Linked DNA regions of Drosophila melanogaster. The gene in region 1 interacts genetically with each later gene. Each region holds a gene or a part of one and is shown in the gene's direction. Other genes may lie near its edges. The genes, in order: Trap1, dve, park and Pink1.

Evidence for each region.
Region 2: of Trap1 (region 1) and dve, changing one suppresses a phenotype caused by changing the other (phenotypic suppression), as found in Drosophila melanogaster (one study listed by BioGRID).
Region 3: of Trap1 (region 1) and park, changing one suppresses a phenotype caused by changing the other (phenotypic suppression), as found in Drosophila melanogaster (one study listed by BioGRID).
Region 4: of Trap1 (region 1) and Pink1, changing one suppresses a phenotype caused by changing the other (phenotypic suppression), as found in Drosophila melanogaster (2 studies listed by BioGRID).

The regions. Positions count from the first base shown.
Region 1 is NT_033778.4:6,633,115-6,637,994, reverse strand, and holds Trap1 (Trap1), read left to right. Parts: upstream 1-1,732; 5' UTR 1,733-2,007; coding exon 2,008-2,140; intron 2,141-2,216; coding exon 2,217-3,984; intron 3,985-4,046; coding exon 4,047-4,221; 3' UTR 4,222-4,348; downstream 4,349-4,880. Other genes in the region: Bap170 (brahma associated protein 170kD), read right to left, coding at 1-1,000, 1,065-1,306.
Region 2 is NT_033778.4:22,242,291-22,246,970, forward strand, and holds the start of dve (defective proventriculus), read left to right. Parts: upstream 1-1,672; 5' UTR 1,673-2,391; coding exon 2,392-2,457; intron 2,458-4,680.
Region 3 is NT_037436.4:21,194,244-21,198,753, reverse strand, and holds park (parkin), read left to right. Parts: upstream 1-1,900; 5' UTR 1,901-1,978; intron 1,979-1,984; exon of another isoform or gene 1,985-2,041; 5' UTR 2,042-2,051; coding exon 2,052-2,309; intron 2,310-2,368; coding exon 2,369-2,561; intron 2,562-2,617; exon of another isoform or gene 2,618-2,636; coding exon 2,637-2,982; intron 2,983-3,107; exon of another isoform or gene 3,108-3,123; coding exon 3,124-3,568; exon of another isoform or gene 3,569-3,623; coding exon 3,624-3,720; exon of another isoform or gene 3,721-3,797; coding exon 3,798-3,907; 3' UTR 3,908-4,000; downstream 4,001-4,510. Other genes in the region: Targ2 (terminal ADP-ribose protein glycohydrolase 2), read left to right, coding at 26-295; Targ1 (terminal ADP-ribose protein glycohydrolase 1), read left to right, coding at 629-994, 1,117-1,205, 1,264-1,294; Targ3 (terminal ADP-ribose protein glycohydrolase 3), read right to left, coding at 1,300-1,449, 1,509-1,683, 1,737-1,858. UniProt on the Drosophila melanogaster protein: E3 ubiquitin-protein ligase which accepts ubiquitin from E2 ubiquitin-conjugating enzymes in the form of a thioester and then directly transfers the ubiquitin to targeted substrates, such as Paris, Marf, Opa1, Miro, pnut, Septin1, Tom20 and porin.
Region 4 is NC_004354.4:6,682,029-6,687,842, forward strand, and holds Pink1 (PTEN-induced putative kinase 1), read left to right. Parts: upstream 1-1,812; 5' UTR 1,813-2,042; exon of another isoform or gene 2,043-2,099; 5' UTR 2,100-2,433; intron 2,434-2,489; 5' UTR 2,490-2,528; coding exon 2,529-2,693; intron 2,694-2,757; coding exon 2,758-3,543; intron 3,544-3,606; coding exon 3,607-4,620; intron 4,621-4,684; coding exon 4,685-4,885; 3' UTR 4,886-5,010; downstream 5,011-5,814. Other genes in the region: Fum2 (fumarase 2), read left to right, coding at 1-106, 191-394, 478-1,282, 1,343-1,602; CG44303 (uncharacterized protein), read right to left, coding at 5,011-5,274, 5,335-5,337; CG3184 (uncharacterized protein), read right to left, coding at 5,642-5,814.

The DNA.
Region 1 (4,880 bases):
TCCCATGACCAAATATCGCCACAACGTGCGGTTGGAGGCCAAGAGTGCATGATTCTCCTGATGAAAGCTGAGTGTACGGACTAGCTGGACAATCTGAAGCACTCGCTGGCCCATGCGCTCATCAGTCCCGTTGCTCCGGCGCAGATTAAGGAAGTGCAACTCGTCGCAGGCCGCCAGCAGTTCACTTCGAGCGGCAGAGTTCTCACCGTCCTCCTTACTTATCAGACCGTTGTCCAGCCAGGCCTGCTCATCCGTGTAGAGCTCTAGGACCTGTGGCTTGTCGTGTAGCAGGTCGCGCCAGAAACTGAGCTGCGAATGGTGTCGAACCTCGGTGTAACTGTGCTGGAACAGCTGGCGCATGGTGAAGTCAGCGTAGACTCCCAGGTGAGCAAGCAGCACATCAAGCAGTTTGGGGCACTCGGACAGCTGTAGGGTGTGGCGCGCCTCGTTGGCCATAAGTGTGCACACGTTTATGGCGAAGTCCTGCTCATTGGGCAGCGGAGAAAGCAGAGACAACAGCAGCTTCTCGTAGCTGCTGTGTCGGTGCAACTGCGTGGACATCTTGTACTGTCGGCGTCGTTCCACATTAACAGAGTGCTGGCGCTGGTTGTAGGCCATTGGCACCGCCGGCAACGTAGAGTGTGCTGATCCAAAAATGCTTCCTAGGCCACCACCGGCGCCAGCCAAAAAACGAGATCGCGAGCGTCCACCGCCCATTTCTACAATCTCAATAGCCGCCTCCAGAGCCTCCATCTTGTCTGGATCCTCGCCAAAGAAGTTCAACCGTTCGTACTTGTCCAGGTAGCGTCTGTAGATGTGCTTGATACTAGCCGTTCCGTTAACGCAGCGCTCCCGCAATGTCTCCATGGCGCTGTACACCTCGTCCCACTCGTCCCGCATGGTCACCTTATTAAAGCCGCCTCGTTCGGTTACCTCGTTGTACAGCTTGTACAGGTCGACATGCTTACCGCTGATCCTGGCGGGCTGTGTCAATGGAGTGCTGTTTGGGCAGAGGGAAAGTGGGTTAGGTCGTCTCCAAATACAGGAGAGCCGCGGCAACTCACCCGCGTCGTTCGTGAAACTGCTGCAGGTCCCTCCAGAACTCCTCCGGAGGTGACGGCGGCATCTCCTCGACCTTCTCCGGCATGATCTGTAATTGGGCGGGATTCTTGGCGCGAAGGGGAGTCGCTGGGGCCGCAATCTTGCCCGGCGTCTGTAGATCGCCCGGCTGAGTGGCGCTGTTTACGGCGGCAGCAGGCAGCGACTGAAGCAGCACCCGTACGTTGTCGATGGTGGTGGCGCTCATGATTGGATCTTTTTGTGTGGTGGCGTGAATGGGAAACACTTAACACATGATATTCTAATAGTAAGACACGCAGATGCTAATTAAAATTATTTAAAAAACTCAACAAAAATTACAACGCGACGCTGACGCGCTACAGCAGAGTTGCATTCACGAGCAGGGCTGTCAGCAATTGGACCGTATATCGATATGAGGTATCGATGTCTTTCAATATTGGATTTGATTTAACTTTCTTTTATTTACTGTCTTCTTTGAAGACATTTGTTATTTCATAACTCAAAAATCAGCATCCAATCTACATTGGCTAAACAATGAAACGTAATCTGTTCTTAATTCCTTCAGAATTTACGGTTTGTTGTTCACAGTTGAAACATCTCTATCTCTCTCTCTCTCTCTTGCTGATCGAAATCTTTAGAGAACTAGTCAGCTGGCAGTTTGCTTCAGTTTTGAGCTGAATAATGTGATGAAACTGAACTCTCCATTACATGTAGTAACTCTTATTCAAACCAACTAAGCATTTGAGTCCAAAATTCATTACAGCCCAGAAATTTGGAAGAAAACACCGTTATGAGTAGGGTTTTACCAGTTTACTATTATCGAATACTTACAATCGATTGATTTGGCTACACTGTGCACACATGTGCGCTGGAACAAACTTCGTAGTTGGGTAACATTAAAGTTGGGCAAAACATTAAAACAACAAGATGTCTGTACGAGCGATGGGAGTGCTGGGCCAGGCGTGCCGCCTCGGTCGCTGTGCCCAAGTGTTGAGGCAGAGTCACCGATCCGCCCCAGCAGCGTTCAATATCACCATTGGATCGCAGCATTCGCCGGGTGGTAAGCACTGAATATAAGCAACCGGCTCCCCGGAGGGATTCTTATGTTTACATAACACTCATCTTTTCACTTGCAGCTCTCTCGCTCCGTCGCTACTCCACGGAGACCAAGCAGGCATCAGGATCAGTGGTGGACAAGCATGAGTTCCAGGCAGAGACGCGCCAGCTACTTGACATTGTGGCTCGTTCCTTATACTCCGACCACGAGGTCTTTGTGCGCGAGCTTATTTCGAATGCAAGCGATGCGCTGGAGAAATTTCGGTACACCTCGTTGAGCGCTGGAGGCGAGAATCTGGCTGGAAAGGACCGGCCTCTGGAGATTCGTATCACCACCGACAAGCCACTGATGCAGCTAATCATCCAGGACACGGGCATCGGCATGACCAAGGAGGAGCTGGTCAGCAACCTGGGCACCATTGCACGCAGCGGCTCGAAGAAGTTCCTGGAGCAGATGAAGGGGACCCAGCAGGGAGCCAGCTCGGAGGCATCCTCGAACATTATTGGTCAGTTCGGCGTGGGCTTTTACTCTTCCTTCATTGTCGCCAATAAGGTGGAGGTGTTCACGAGGGCGGCTGTGCCTAATGCACCCGGACTGCGTTGGTCCACGGATGGCAGTGGAACCTACGAGATCGAAGAGGTGCCTGACGTTGAGTTGGGAACGCGAATCGTGCTTCATTTAAAGACCGATTGCCGTGAATATGCGGACGAGGAGAGGATCAAGGCGGTAATCAAGAAATACAGCAACTTTGTGGGCTCACCCATCTTGCTTAACGGAAAGCAGGCCAATGAGATCAAGCCTCTGTGGCTTCTTGAGCCACAAAGCATCAGCAAGGAGCAGCACCATGACTTCTATCGGTTCATTAGCAATAGCTTCGATGTCCCGCGCTTCACCTTACACTATAATGCTGACGTACCCTTGAGCATCCATGCACTGCTCTACTTCCCCGAAGGAAAGCCTGGTTTATTCGAGATGTCTCGGGACGGAAACACCGGTGTGGCTCTTTACACCCGCAAGGTGCTTATTCAGTCCAAGACTGAGCATCTGCTGCCCAAGTGGCTGCGTTTTGTAAAGGGTGTTGTCGACTCTGAGGACATTCCACTCAACCTGAGTCGCGAGCTGCTCCAGAACAGCAGCCTGATTCGCAAACTGTCCAGTGTGATTTCCACCCGCGTTATCCGTTTCCTGCAAGAGCGGTCCAAGAAGCAGCCAGAAGAGTACGAGGCCTTCTACCGGGACTATGGGCTTTTCCTGAAGGAAGGAATTGTAACCTCCAGCGACGCCTCCGAGAAAGAAGAAATAGCTAAACTTCTGCGTTTTGAATCCTCCAAGTCGGAGACCGCCAGTGGGCGCATGTCGCTGGAGGAGTACTACAACGCCGTTCCCGCAGAACAGCAGAATATTTACTACTTGGCAGCACCCAACCGCGTTCTTGCCGAGTCCTCGCCCTACTACGAGAGTCTGAAGAAGCGCAACGAGCTGGTGCTCTTCTGCTACGAACCCTATGATGAGCTGGTGCTCATGCAGCTGGGCAAGTTCAAAAGCAAAAAACTCGTTTCCGTGGAGAAGGAGATGCGCGAAGAGTCCAAGGAGACAACAGCGACCACCGACTTTGGCGAGGGCAGTCTGCTGCGCTCAGAGCTCGACACTTTGATTCCCTGGCTGGAGGAGGAGCTCAGGGGGCAGGTTATTAAAGTAAAAGCCACCACTCGTCTAGACACCCATCCCTGTGTAATCACCGTAGAGGAAATGGCTGCCGCTCGCCACTTCATTCGCACCCAGAGTCACCAGGTGCCAGAACAGAATCGATTTGCCCTGCTTCAACCAGAACTGGAGATCAACCCAAAGTGAGTCCTGCTCCTCACGTTTCTTTCGTTGCTTTCTTATTTTGCATTTTTCCTTACCTTAGGCACCCCATCATCAAGAAGCTTAACAAGCTCCGTGAGAGCGACAAGGATCTGGCCCAACTTATCGCCAAGCAGCTCTTTGCAAACGCAATGGTGGGCGCCGGTTTGGCTGAGGATCCCCGCATGCTGCTAACCAACATGAACACTCTGCTATCGCGGGCCCTGGAGAAATACTAGAGTGCGCCGTAGAAGGAACAGTGTAGATATACCGACTATGTAATATTAATTTCTATAATTAATTTCATAAAACGTGTTGAAATAGTTTTAAATATGTATAATTAAACGTTTTAAATATTTTAATTCCAAAAATGAAGGGGAATATAATTTTTTCGGGCTTAATTTTAACTTTGTGTGCCTAGTGTGTGCACAATAATGGGGCTTACACTAGGCATTTTATACAAAGAGTTTTTGCATAAACGTATTCTTTGTTCAAAAGCTCCATAGAAACCAATATTTCTAAAAAAAAGTGTAAATAAAATATGAATTTGTTACATTATACGTACTATAAAAAACGTTTTGTAAGCTATTTTATAATAGCTAATACCGTTCTTGGGACCCATTTAGTTCGAGCAATTGAATTTTTCTATGGTACAAAAAGATGTTTTCCATACAAGTTCATGAACGAATTGACCAAGCTATCAGAAATATAAAATAAAATATTAATTTTGATGTGCTTATGTTCTTCAATTTCGTGCATCCTTTTAAAATCGGTGTGAAAGCAATGCTTTAATTGTATTGGCTCTAGTGGAAACATTGTTAGTGCATTTTGACGTCCATCAGGTGGCAGCGCTGGCACAACTATCGCCGAAAATCCGCCCCCGTGACTAACGTTTATA
Region 2 (4,680 bases), about 16 Mb from region 1:
GCCAAGAGGGAGAAAGGGAGAGCTTGCGCATTCAGGAACTGGATGAAAACTGAGGATATCGTGGGATAAACATATCCAGATCAAGGATTTTTATGTATTTTTATGTTTTGGTATATAGCAGTTATTTAATTTGTATAAATAATTATAGTTGTTTTTTAGAAACTATAAGAGAAAAAGAGGCAGTCTTTTTTCGGTTGAGTTTTCTGAAAACGGATATGAAATCCTGTACTAATTACCAAGCCCACTGTAACTCCACCCTATTTCCATCTTTTTCTCGGCGCAGTGTTTCTCCTACTAGTGCTGCTACATAGAAATCCTATTTACCATATACTTGGACGCGGTTGGCTAAATCCTGCAGCCCGGACACCTAATCACATGTAATGCGCGCGCATTATCTGCGCTCTTATCTCTTATTTTCCGGGGGCACCACCCATCCCGCCCCTCGGCGAAATCCACTTCGTGCCGTGAACTCACGAATCCTCAACGAAGGCCGTCGCCATTCACGGAGGTGCTAAATGCCGAGTGGGTGTAGCCCCCCGACCACCCACCGCCCATCGAGAGGAATAAGCAATGCCGATTTACTCTTTCATCCCGAATGCCCGAACCTATTGCCGCACTGCTCGCACCCGCACCGTCGTAGTTCACGCCCACGCCCACTCTACACGGTGTAGGGATATGTGGCTGTGTGTGTGCGGCATAATTCCACCCGAATTTGCAGCAAATCCATTCAGTTTCGCCACAGCGCACAAAAAATAAAAGAAAACGCGCAGCCGAATGAGCAAGTGTTTGTCGGGGGAGGGGGTTTTAGGCGGGTTGGGCGAAGGCTGCGGCGACGACAAGTGCAATTGTGCGCCGGAACAGGTTTACCCACTGTTCCTGTGTGTGTGTGAGAGAAAGTCGCTCTCTGCATAGCTACTCTCTTTTCTCTCTCTGTCCCTGTGCGTGTGCTTTGTTTTGGTCACTCACTGACGCACACACGCAGAGCTGTTTGTTTGCCTCGCTAACCAGAACGAAATTTCGCAGTATTTCTACTACGCTTTGGCATCATTTCAATATTTTAACAAGATGATACTGTGGGAAAGTGTTGGTAAGCAAAAATTCTTATCAGTTCTAAAGAAATTTACATTTTGAAGAAAATAACGTGACATATAAAGTAAATTTAGCTTTCTAAAATTTGGTGGTCTTTTTAACATTTTTTATTTTTAATTTACTAAGAAAAGCGCCACTTGTTCTTATTCTAAGCAAAGTGGGTTACTCTTATAACAAATATAAAATTTACAGCATTTATATTTTTCCTTTCGTTATATTTAATATAATAAATATATTGATTTTAATCTAATCCTTTTAATTAGAGCCCCATTCATAAGAGCTCAGCTAACTCATAGTTTTACTACCTTTTCAGAGCCTACTACTTTTTGTTACGTTCTCTCTCCCCACTCACACAAATACAAATACAAGTGGGAGAGCGCGGTCGTTGTCTCTTTGACTCACACACCAGTACACATGGACTGGCGGCAAATGGAGCCGCGTGAGAGGACCACGGTTGAAAGGGGGGTGGGTGCTGGCTGGGGGAGGGCGAGAACGAGACCGAAGACCGTCGGCCGAAAGAGACCGAATGCCAAACACCGAGCACCGGCACACCGGCGAATGTGCGAAGGCGAAGGAATGCCGTCAGTTGTGCGACAACTTTGGCCAAGAGAGGATGTCTTGACGCGCGTCCGCTTACTAACACCCTGCGATACCCTGCGAAGAGAGTCCAGAGAGCCAGATCAGTCAGTCAGGAGCAGGAGCCCAAGGATTCGGCACGCCATCTGCCGGAGAAACCAGACAGGCGGACAGCCAGACAGCCTGAACGCCTCAACCTCAACGGTTGGCTGGATTTGCGATTGTCGCATTCGCCAAATTCGATACGCTGCCAATCCTGGTGACGCAGTGACGCGATCAGCTCCCGATTTCATGGCACTAATGATGTCGCGTCGCCCCCAACAGCAACAACAACAGCAAGAAGAGCCCCTGGAGCAATTGGAAGTGCAGCATCTGGAACTAGAGTCATCGAATCCGTTCCACGAAGGAAACGCGCGTTTCACCTGAGCGTGTGTGCGGTTGCGCGCGTGTGTGTGCCTGTGTCTAATTTGCGTATCCGCGCTACTCAAATAAGAAATAAATAGAAAAATCACATCAAATTAAATCAAATCAAATCGAATCAAGAAATACACCTTCCCCCGATCGAATTCGAAATCGAGCTCCCCTTATCGCGGTGACAAATTGCAATCAAACAAAAATCACAGCGAACCATCCAAATTGCAATTAATGCCAAAGCGCCTGCATCTGGCCATAAATAAAATACGTGAACTGCAGACTCAGTGATTAGAACTTTGAATCGCCAGCGAGATGGACTTCCAGAGCGCCATGGAAACCTTTGCCGAAGCCTGGGTGGCAGCCAATGCCGGTCAGCAGGTGAGTTGAGCCTTCAAATTTGCAGAGATATCATCCGCATCACGAAGATTTCGTCATACGGAGAAATTTCATCATCGCACGGCGAGATCGCTTTGCCGGCGGCACTTCACACAGCCATTAGTCAGATACCCTGGCTATCCCCCACTTTTACAGCCCTCCCATTGCCAAATGAATCAGTTGAGTGCAAACAAAATCGGCCAAACGACATATGGCCAAGCTGTAGTGATAAGGGCCGTGTAGATATGCGCTCGTTTCGCTATTTATGCAGATTAAGATAATCCTTATCGGCTGAGATTTTCGAGATCGGTGCTGCGATAAGTCCGCCAGCACCCCGCACCCAACTGTTTACCTTTCCCCGTTCGGTGTGCCCACTAATTGCATTGTAAAGCCGATCCCCAAAGGGGAAAACTGGGAACTGGGGCTAAGTTCCGAGTTCTGGGTTCTCCGCCAGAGCTTTTGCCAGCCAGATAAGATAATCCCGACGGTAATTTTGTCAAACGCTGGTAAATTCGGCATAAGGCGATGACGAACTTAGATATCGAATGTGGCTAACGGGGTGGGGATACTGGCGGTGGGGAGCGTTAGCGCCCCCAGCTCATAGAGTGCATGTCGCGTCATCTCTGTGCGCGCCGCTCTTATTTTTATCAGAATCGAACGCCCCTGTCACTGATATCGCAATTAATCCAAATAAGTGCGATAAAATTGATTATGAACATGCTGGCGTGATTAGTCCAGCCCAACTCCCTCTCTGGAAAAAGTGGGGGATCACTCATACACATGTCCAGATATCTGGGTGTGTGCCTGCATGTGTGTGTGTGGTTTATTAGCAGACATAATTGATTATGTTGTGTGAGTGTAATTATTATTTATCTGGCTCTGCGGTATGACTTCTGCCTTTGGCGCTCAACCCATTGGAATCGGTTACCCAAACGCCGAAAACGGGGGGTGACTAATCCAAGAATTTATGAATTTTATTTCCAATCGGTTTCGAAAACATCTCTATGTTGTATATTTAAAAAATCCCAATCTCGCGAGGGACCCACCGTCATTGTCTTTAAGCCGAAATCATGCCACAAGAGTTATTGTACTGGCCAAATCTGTGATGGCTTCGAAAACAAACAGCTTAGAGTTATTTCGTATACCCTAGCCATTGGGAATACTTACATTTTTTTAAGAGATCGATTGAGATTACCATATTTGTAGAACCTAGCAGTGCTTCCAGCAATTTAAATAGGTCCACAGGGATTGTTTTTTGTTCTATGTACGTCCACGTGGCAATGGTAATTGCAAAATCTTTGCATGTTTCCGATAAATGTAACTTCCTCTAAGTTTGCTACGACGAATGTGATGATGCAATAGTTTTGAAAAATTTTATATCGATTAGATCAGAATCGATCTAGGCTAGAGCATTCGAAACTTCGGCTTTAGAACCATTCGTTTTCTTTTTTATTTTTTGACAGTTTTATGTGTCGACGCATATGCTTAGTGAATGGGATTAAGATAAGACGGCGTAAGTTGCTCGAGAGTCAGATAATAAACCAGAATGGTCAGAAGGGGCATAAATAAATGTGAATTCTTTCAAAACTATGGCAAATCATATTGTGCGAGTGTGAGTCGAATTTTTTGTTGGCCCGGCCAAACTAATTATAAAGCATTTAGCTTTATTGTTGTGATAATTTCATTTCGGGGTTTTTCTAAGGGCGTAATATCGAAATCGAACGCGGCCAACAGATAATGCCGTCTCTTCACACCCGGTTAGATCACCTGGCCGCCTTTTGAGCAGCCAGATAGGCCGTCTTATAAATTATAAATGGTTCGATTTTGTCTAATCTGAAAGTGTTAGTCGTTTGTGAATGGGGGATGGGCGGGGACAGCCTTAGGAGTCAGATAATGGAATATTTATTAATTGAAATCTTCTTCGCCGCTGCTTCCTGCTCACCGTGCTCGTGATCATCGAATAGTCGTTTCATTACCTCTGCCTCGTTTTCCCCAGCGATCTCTCGCACCAAGACTAATGGTAATCGGGGTTAATCCGGCCGCGCATCGAATCGCAGCTCCAATCAAATGCATTCTTCGCCCTTTCTTCTGGCCCTGCCCGTCTGCCCCTCTGTCGGCTTCCCCGTCTGCCTTCCCACGTTTTCGGTTTCGTTAAATTCCGGTAGTCAAATGTCCATTAAATGCCGCTCATAAATGTCCAAACTGTTTGTCATCTTTGTGGCCCTG
Region 3 (4,510 bases), on another chromosome or scaffold:
ATGCTTGCTATATTCTCTCTTTCAGAGGGAGCACGGAGTGACCAAGTTGGCCATTCCCAGACTTGGATGCGGCATCGACCGTTTGGATTGGTTGCGCGTGCGGAGTCTGCTGGATCTGGTTTTCGCCGAGGATAGCGTGGACATAATTGCATTCTTCTACACACCGCCACAAATGGTTAAGGACACGTTGAACGTGGTTTGTCCCACCTGCCGGCACATGAAGACCATCCATTTGCCATCGAGGTCCGTTAGTGGATCAAGAAATTCGCTTCATCGCGAAAAGACTCCCTTTTAATGTATATAGCCATCTTTGTTTGACACTCGAAATGGTTTTGCTTGGGACTTGTGGCATCATATGCACCAAATACTTATATAGTTGATAAGAACGATACACCTAAGAGGTTTTTATAGCACACAAAGTTTCCATATTTGGTTATTTATACTGTATTTAATGTATTAATAAATAAAACACGTCCTCGAGAGGATATTAACCAAAGATTGGAGTTTTGATAAATACATATATATACCCTTACGAACCATTATCTAGTGTTATCGTATGACCAAAAATTAATCTAGTAGCTGCCTGTTACACTAAGTCAGACAGATCTAAAACCCTTATTTAAACTAAATGTATTCTCCCAAACTTCTAGAACTACGTAGCGCATTTCGGCGAGCTTTTGTAGTCGGAATGTCATCCAAACCTCAGTACACCCTAAGCGAAGTGGATGGGGATCTGTTTTCCGCCCCCAAGACCTATTCCTTGGCGCACTGTGTGGGCGCAGATCTTGCGATGGGTGCTGGAATTGCCGTGCAGTTCAAGAAGGTATTCGGAAGGTTGGACGAGCTGCAAGCCCAACAAGCGGGCAGTGGAGATATTGCGGTGCTGAAGGATGACCAGCGGTACATTTACTACCTAGTAACCAAGCCTCAGAGCTGGGGAAAGCCCACCTACGAATCTGTACAAGCATCTTTGGAGCAGATGCGTGAGCATATGGTAAATACATGCCTGATACATATCTTTTATGAATGGAATGTATCCCTGCTTTTATTTATTATATATATAAAGCTTAGACAAGTTATATTAATAAGAGCTACATTTTATTATTCCTACATTAGCGCAAAAACAACGTGAATAAGCTGGCCATCCCAAAAATTGGCTGCGGAATTGATGGCTTGGAATGGGAAAAAGTCAGCGGAGTCCTCGAGTACGTTTTTGGCCAAGAGCCGCTGGAGATTGTTGTCTACAATTTTGTGCCTCCACAGGGAAAATAATGGATCGTTTAGTTTAATATGAGCCATTTACTTCATAGCAACATAATTATAAACGACCAGCTCAACAGAATCCGCTTGAAAAACCTGGCAAATTATTTCCTTAACTTTGGGCCAGTTTAGGCCATCCAAACCGCATCCAATGCGGGGCATGGCTAGCTTGGGTACTTGGTGGGAGATCTGCAAATGGTAGAAAGATTCGTATATCATAACTTCTTATAGAAGATACATAAACATACCATGTGTTTTCGCATGGCGATCAAGGAACTCTGGAGAAGTTCGTAGGTGGGCTTTCCCCAGCTGGATTTCTTGGTGATCAGATAGTAAATAAATCGCTGCTGGTCCTGAAGGACAGCCACGCCGCCTGGCTGAACATTTTGTCTCTGCAAATTCAACAACTGTCCAAATTTGTTTCTGGAAAATAGGCAAATTTACCATTTTATTAAAAACACTAAGCCATTACCTACCGAAACTTTACAGCTATGCCTCTGCCCATTCGCAAATCGGCAGCCACGCAGTGGCACATGGAATAATCCCTTTGGCATTTGAATAGGTCGCCATTGATCTCTCTGTAAGTTAGTCCTGACATTTCCATAAAACTTTTACATTTATACTCCTCCGACTTCTTCACAAAAATTGTTTTCAATTGTGCGCTTTCTGCGTGTCCACGTTTTCCTCCGAATGGCTGCCAGCTGGTGTTTGGCAACGCGTAAGTAAACAACGATTGGCAACACTGAAGCATATACACTGCACTAAAATTAAACCCGATCAGCTGATAACAAATGAGTTTTATTTTTAAATTTATTGCCACTTTTGTACGCAAAATGCTGGAGCTGTTGCAATTTGGAGGGAAAACCCTTACGCACACGCTGAGTATTTATGTAAAAACGAACACGGGCAAAACGCTGACCGTTAATCTGGAGCCCCAGTGGGATATTAAAAACGTAAAGGAACTGGTGGCACCACAATTGGGACTTCAGCCGGATGATCTAAAGATCATATTTGCCGGTAAGGAACTAAGCGATGCCACGACAATAGAGGTAAGAAGTTTCTTTAATGTATCCGCTACATGAAGTTAACTTTTACTGTCTTCTAGTAGCAATGTGACTTGGGTCAGCAAAGCGTTTTGCATGCCATTCGTTTGCGACCGCCCGTGCAGCGCCAGAAAATCCAGTCGGCCACTTTGGAGGAGGAGGAACCTTCGCTTAGCGATGAAGCCTCCAAGCCTCTAAATGAAACTCTGTTGGACTTGCAGCTGGAAAGCGAGGAGCGTCTGAATATAACCGATGAAGGTAGGCAACAATTAGTTTTTATTGTTTTTTTTTTTTTTAACGAAACCCCTTGTAATCCCGTCGTATCCTCTCCAGAAAGAGTCCGTGCCAAAGCGCATTTCTTTGTACATTGCAGCCAATGCGATAAGCTGTGTAATGGCAAACTTCGGGTCCGCTGCGCTTTATGCAAGGGCGGCGCCTTTACTGTCCATCGTGATCCGGAGTGTTGGGATGATGTCTTGAAGTCGCGTAGAATTCCCGGTCATTGTGAAAGTCTGGAGGTGGCCTGCGTGGACAACGCGGCTGGCGATCCGCCCTTCGCTGAATTCTTCTTCAAGTGTGCTGAGCATGTCTCCGGCGGGGAGAAGGATTTTGCGGCTCCATTGAATCTAATCAAGAATAACATCAAGAATGTTCCTTGCCTGGCCTGCACGGATGTGAGGTGATTATGCAATAAGGAACATCTTAATTTCTTATAATTTTCATATCATCGAAAATGTCATAAAAAGTTCTTTTAAAGTCTTTAAAGTAATTATTTGTCATATAATTTTATTCTGCTATAATCACCTTATTATGTTCGCAGTGATACCGTGTTGGTTTTCCCCTGCGCATCGCAGCACGTCACCTGTATCGACTGCTTCCGCCATTATTGCCGTTCCCGTTTGGGCGAGCGTCAGTTTATGCCGCATCCGGACTTCGGCTACACCTTGCCCTGTCCCGCAGGCTGCGAGCACTCGTTCATCGAGGAGATTCATCACTTCAAGCTGTTGACACGCGAGGAGTACGATCGGTACCAGAGATTCGCCACCGAGGAGTATGTCCTACAGGCAGGTGGAGTACTCTGCCCCCAGCCAGGATGCGGCATGGGCCTTTTGGTGGAGCCCGATTGTCGCAAGGTGACATGCCAGAACGGCTGTGGATACGTGTTCTGCCGCAATTGTCTGCAGGGCTACCATATCGGGGAGTGTCTGCCCGAGGGGACGGGCGCCAGTGCCACAAACTCCTGCGAGTACACCGTGGACCCAAATGTGAGTTGGCTCTTATACGGCCCATTCCCGCTTGTGTAATCATGTGCTTTTTTAGCGAGCTGCCGAGGCGCGATGGGATGAGGCCAGCAATGTCACCATCAAAGTCAGCACAAAGCCCTGTCCAAAATGCAGAACCCCCACGGAGCGAGATGGTGAGTTGGGCGAGCATCGAAGACACCCAAGACGCAGTTTGTAACACATCCATACCGTCTTCTTCTCTTCCTACCAGGCGGTTGCATGCACATGGTCTGCACACGCGCTGGCTGCGGATTCGAGTGGTGCTGGGTCTGCCAGACTGAGTGGACACGCGACTGCATGGGAGCCCACTGGTTCGGCTAATCCTTCGTCATCGTTGTACGTCGGCCCGACGGGTCCTTTTTGTTTGTTGACTACTTTTAAATTGTATACCATAGTAAAGACTGCTCGAACAACACCCTGTTTGTCGTCTACGCAATCAATAGCAGAAACACCCCTGACAAGGACCAACGCGAATCACATCCTACCCCACTCTGTTCCTTTGTTGCGTGCGCACAAAAACTTTGTTTACGTTTTTTTTTAAGCTCGCCCACAAATATTTTGAGGGCTTTCCTCTTCGGCCAGGCATGCGAAAACCGCAACAAACACGTGCATTTGGCCAAACAGCCAGAGAGCGAGTGCCGCGAATGCGCAGTGGGTGGTCAGCGGCACAAGGTTCATGTGATTTCAACCCAGGCGCGTAGCCGCAAGGGGACTAATAATTGATTGGGGGATGGTAAAGGCATTTCAAAAATGTTCCTGGATTTTCAAAAGTACTAACTACTATTCTTGCTAAAGAGAGAAAACACAAAAGAGAAAATTATTAAGAAACTGAAACTTAAATTTTGGCCGTTAATACGTAAAATTAAATATTTCACTTTAATACAGTTTTATAATTCATATGTGCAACCGCCCTAGGACACATCT
Region 4 (5,814 bases), on another chromosome or scaffold:
GGACACCTTCGGGGAGCTAAAGGTGCCGGCGGACAAGCTGTACGGCGCACAGACGATGCGCTCCAAATTGAATTTTCCCATTGGCGACATAGGCGAACGTATGCCGGTAGGCAACCAACCAACCAACCAACATATTCTGGCATCTACCAAGTGCTTTGCCATAGCCAATTAATCCCCAAACTGCCCGCAGATGCCGGTGATCCAGGCCATGGGCATACTGAAGAAGGCATGTGCCGAGGTCAACAAGGATTACGGACTAGATGGCAAGGTGTCGGATGCCGTATCCTGCGCCTGCGACGATGTCATTTCCGGCAAGCTATACAAACAGGGTCACTTCCCATTGGTCATCTGGCAAACCGGTTCGGGCACCCAGACCAATATGAACACCAACGAGGTAAGATTGTTAGATAGGGCTAACGAGAGAAATGTGTATAGCTGGATGCTTCTCCTGCCCCATGCCATTGGCAAACCTACTAGGTGATCAGCAATGCGGCCATTAAGATGATGGGCGGCGAACTGGGCAGCAAGAAGCCGGTGCATCCCAACGATCATGTGAACAAGTCGCAGAGCTCCAACGACACCTTCCCCACGGCCATTCACATTTCGGTGGGCATGGAGCTGAACGAGCGGCTTGTTCCGGCGGTTACACACTTGAGGGATGCCCTCAAGTCCAAGTCGGATGAGTTCAAGGACATCATCAAGATCGGACGCACCCACTTGATGGACGCAGTTCCGCTGACTTTGGGCCAGGAATTCAGCGGTTATACACAGCAGTTGACCAACGGTCTGGAAAGGATCAAGGGCTGTCTGCCGCGCGTCTATGAGCTGGCTCTGGGCGGCACTGCTGTGGGTACGGGTCTGAACACACGCAAGGGATTCGCCGAGAAGGTGGCCAAGCGCATTTCGGAGCTAACCTGCTTGCCCTTCGTGTCGGCGCCCAACAAGTTCGAGGCACTGGCTGCCCGCGATGCCATGGTGGAGGTGCATGGTGTGCTCAACACGATCGCCGTCAGCCTGATGAAGATCGCCAACGATATCCGATTGCTGGGATCGGGTCCGCGTTGCGGTCTGGGCGAACTAATGCTGCCGGAGAACGAGCCCGGTAGCTCCATCATGCCCGGCAAGGTGAATCCCACGCAATGCGAATCAATGACCATGCTGTGTGCCCAGGTGATGGGCAATCAGGTGGCGGTGACCATCGGCGGCTCCAACGGGCACTTCGAGCTAAATGTATTCAAACCCCTGGTCGTGTCCAATGTGCTGCGCTCCATTCGCTTGTTGGGTGAGTCGGAAATGTGTTTTCCAAGTGGAAAAACATGCATACATAACCTTCTCCTCCCAGCTGATGGCAGCATGACCTTCAGCAAGAACTGCGTGGAGGGACTGCAGGCCAACAAGGAGAGGATCGACAAGATCATGAACGAGTCCTTGATGCTGGTGACCGCGCTGAATCCGCACATTGGCTATGACAAGGCCGCCCTGATCGCCAAGACGGCGCACAAGAATAAGACGACCTTGAAGGAGGAGGCACTGAAGACCGGAATTACCGAAGAGCAGTTCAAGGAGTGGGTCAATCCCAAGGAGATGCTGGGACCGAAGTGATTCGCTGTGCGGCTATTGACGATTTTGTTTTAGTTTCGTGTAATAAATTTTTGTGTGTAGCAGGATATTTCAATAGATTGTATTAATTTGTTGATTTTACGGCAGGTGAATAACGGTTTTTAGTTTTTGAATTCTCCAAATGATTCGAGTCCACACTACGCGATAGTCATTATCGATTCTAAAGATATACCGTAAGTGTGGTCACACTAACGCCTTGCTGTTTCTAAATTATTCCGTTGTTTTTATCGTAAATTCTTGCACACTTAGCTATTATTTTATAGCGAAATATAAGCAAAGCAAGCTTTTAAACAAGTGTTTATTGCGGCGCACATTTTCCGTGACAAATGAAAAGATCCAGCTGACCAGCGATTATCTAACGACCAAATCGAATCGAAACGAAACGTTGAAGTAGGCGCATTACATTAAAAATTGGCTGCCAGGCAAGTTGGAGGTCGTAAATTAATCGTTTTGTTCAGTTGAAAATAGCCCAAAATCAGTCTAGCCCACACAGATATCGAAAAAGGCGATATATCTTTGGATAATCATTGCAAAAATAAACCCTTTCGATTCGACGATTTCGCCTTGTAGTTCTGCCACCACCGCCCCCACACTTCGCCCCGCAGCTGCACCACAACCACCACCACCCACAAACAGAAAATTTATTTGCGACGCAAAAACAAAACAATCGAATCGAAACGAACCGAACCGAAACGAAACGACAGCAGCTGTTTGGTTATAAATCGGCGCTATCGATCGCACACATGAGCAAAATTGGCGGAGAAGAAGAGGAAGCAGCAGCAAGAGTTAAGCACCACAAATCTTAAAGAATAGGTAAAAATTAAAAATTAAATTAATAGATGACAGACCGTTTAAGGTGCTTCATTCAGTTGCAGGCACTAGGAGCCGAGGTCTTTGCGGGCCGAAAGATGTCTGTGAGACTGCTGACCGTGCGACTGATCAAACATGGTCGCTACATTTTGCGCAGCTATTGTAAACGTGATATACACGCCAACATTTTGGACCAGAATCAATTGAAGACAAGAAGCAAGCGAGGCTTTCCCCTACCCTCCACCGCTGCCAATGTGCTGCGGGTAAGTCAAGCTAAACGGATGATCAAGGCATGTCCAATTAACCCGCATCCAATCTCTTCGCCAGACAACGCCCCAGCAGGCGGCCAAATCGGTGGTCAATGTAGTGCCCCGCACCATCAACTCCCCGTCGGGATCACCGTTTAATGGCAGCGGCAGTAGCCCCACCAGCAGCAGTGGAATCTTCCGAGTGGGCCAGCATGCGCGCAAATTGTTCATCGACAACATCCTCAGCCGGGTGACCACCACCTACTCGGAGGATCTGCGCCAGCGCGCTACCCGCAAGCTATTCTTTGGCGATTCAGCGCCCTTCTTCGCCCTGATTGGCGTTAGTCTGGCCTCCGGATCGGGTGTGCTCAGCAAGGAGGATGAACTGGAGGGCGTGTGCTGGGAGATTCGGGAGGCAGCTAGCCGGCTGCAGAACGCCTGGAATCACGACGAGATCTCCGATACGCTAGACAGCAAGTTCACCATCGATGACTTGGAAATCGGTCCGCCCATAGCCAAAGGTTGTGCCGCTGTCGTCTATGCAGCGGATTTCAAGAAAGATGTTGCCTCGGATGGTGCATCCCTGCATACCGATGCGCAGCCGCAGGCAACGCCAGCCTTTGCGCCGAATAGCTGGAGTACCCACGAGATGATGTCGCCGCTGCAGAACATGTCGCGCTTTGTTCACAACTTTGGCGGCTCTGTGGACAACGTCTTCCACTACAGCCAGCCATCTGCGGCCAGTGATTTCGTGGGCGCCCAGTCGAGGGAACAGGACCAGCGGCACCACGAGCAACAGCAGCATCAGAATCAGGAACAAGAGCAGCATCAGAACCAGGAGCCCAGCAGCAGTGCCTTCAATGTGGTAAATATGTAAGCTTAAATCTGCATGGCAACTTGCCATCACGCTCTTTGCTTTAACTTGCAGACTTCTCCAGCGAATTCAAACATCAACAGCTCTGTGGACAGTTATCCACTGGCACTCAAAATGATGTTCAACTACGACATCCAGAGCAACGCTCTGTCCATACTGCGTGCCATGTACAAGGAGACGGTACCGGCACGCCAGCGCGGCATGAATGAGGCCGCCGATGAGTGGGAACGTTTGCTGCAGAATCAAACTGTTCACCTGCCGCGGCATCCGAACATTGTCTGTATGTTTGGCTTCTTTTGCGACGAGGTGCGCAACTTTCCCGATGGCCATCTCCTGTATCCGGTGGCGCAGCCGCAACGCATCAATCCACAGGGCTATGGCCGCAATATGTCGCTGTATCTGCTGATGAAACGCTACGATCACAGTCTTCGCGGCCTGCTCGATAGCCAGGATCTGAGCACGCGCAATCGCATCCTGCTGCTGGCTCAAATGCTCGAGGCTGTCAACCATTTGAGCCGTCACGGCGTTGCCCATCGTGACCTAAAGTCTGATAATGTGCTAATCGAGCTGCAGGACGATGCGGCGCCGGTGCTAGTGCTCTCCGACTTTGGCTGTTGTCTGGCGGACAAGGTGCATGGCCTGCGCCTGCCGTACGTTTCGCACGACGTCGACAAGGGCGGCAATGCGGCGTTGATGGCGCCAGAGATCTTCAATACGATGCCCGGTCCGTTTGCCGTACTCAATTATGGCAAGGCCGATCTGTGGGCTTGCGGTGCCCTGGCTTACGAAATCTTTGGCAACCGCAATCCGTTCTATTCGAGCAGCGGTGGGATGGCGCGCGAACGCGGTGAGATGACGCTTTCGCTGAGGAACAGCGATTACCGACAGGACCAATTGCCGCCAATGAGCGATGCTTGCCCGCCGCTGCTGCAACAGCTGGTCTACAACATCCTCAATCCCAACCCGTCCAAGCGGGTCAGTCCGGATATTGCGGCAAATGTGGTGCAGCTGTTCCTCTGGGCCCCATCCAATTGGCTTAAGGCGGGCGGCATGCCCAACAGTCCGGAGGTGGGTCGCAGTGTTTGATACCACATCAGCATCCTTTTAAGCTAATTATGATTTTTTTTTACAGATCCTACAGTGGCTCCTTTCGCTGACCACTAAGATTATGTGCGAGGGTCGTCCACAGATGGGCGCCGGATTGATGCCAGTGGCCAGCTGTGGCAATAGGCGCGCCTATGTGGAGTACCTGCTCATATGCAGCTTTCTGGCACGCGCCCGGCTGCGTCGCATTCGCGGCGCCCTCAACTGGATCCAGAATGTGGTGGCGTAGGAGAAAAGCCTTCTACTTGTTACTCTGAGAAAATCAAATGGAAAAGCGTGTGATACCTATATTTTACATATGTATTTATAAATGAAATCAAAATTAACGCCAAAAGCACGCCTCCGGTACAATAATTATTGACCCTCCTGATCTTTCTGATTCTTCAGCTTCTGCATTTTCGCCACCAGCGCCTCCTGTTTGACCAAACTCCTGTCGAGCTTTTCCATCACCTGCCTGATCATAATTTGGAGTTCCGCAAGATGTTTCTCCCAGGCCACATTCTGCTCCTCCAGCTCGATAAGCTTATAGAGATTGGCCTCGTTTGAGTCTTCGATGTTGTCTATAGCCTGATCCAGGCTATCCTCGGCGTCCAACTTGTTTGGATTTTGTGGGGGATGCTGTGCGGAGTAGAATGAGGAGTTTATAAAGTTAGCAGGATCTCTACGTTTAGTACTTACCATAACTAAACAGTTCAAGTTCATTCACTTCTCTGAATTCGCAAACTTCGAATGAAAATGCGCTGACAGAACTTACGATAACCGCACCAGGGCTGAGCCGATTGCATGCGTTATCGATATCGCCTGCCAGGGATGTTGGCAGTTTAAAATTAGTTTTGGAAAACTTAGGATATCCCAAATGCCATGAACAATTCTGTTTTTTCCGCAAACTATTATACAAACTATAGATAGTTGAAAAACATAAGCCAGCAAATGTTTATTTTTCTTTTAGTTTTTAGTCACATAACATAATATACAGATATCGAATTCATTTGTTAATATCCACGCGACTCACACACAACGTGTGATCATAAAAGGAGCAAGTGGCCATGGTCAAGGACGCATCGTCCTTGTTTCTCCATGGTGCCCAATCGGCCCCGTAGCAGATGCTCTTATGCTCCTCATAGGCGCCCAGTAAACTCAGGCCAGGTGCCGCGACAT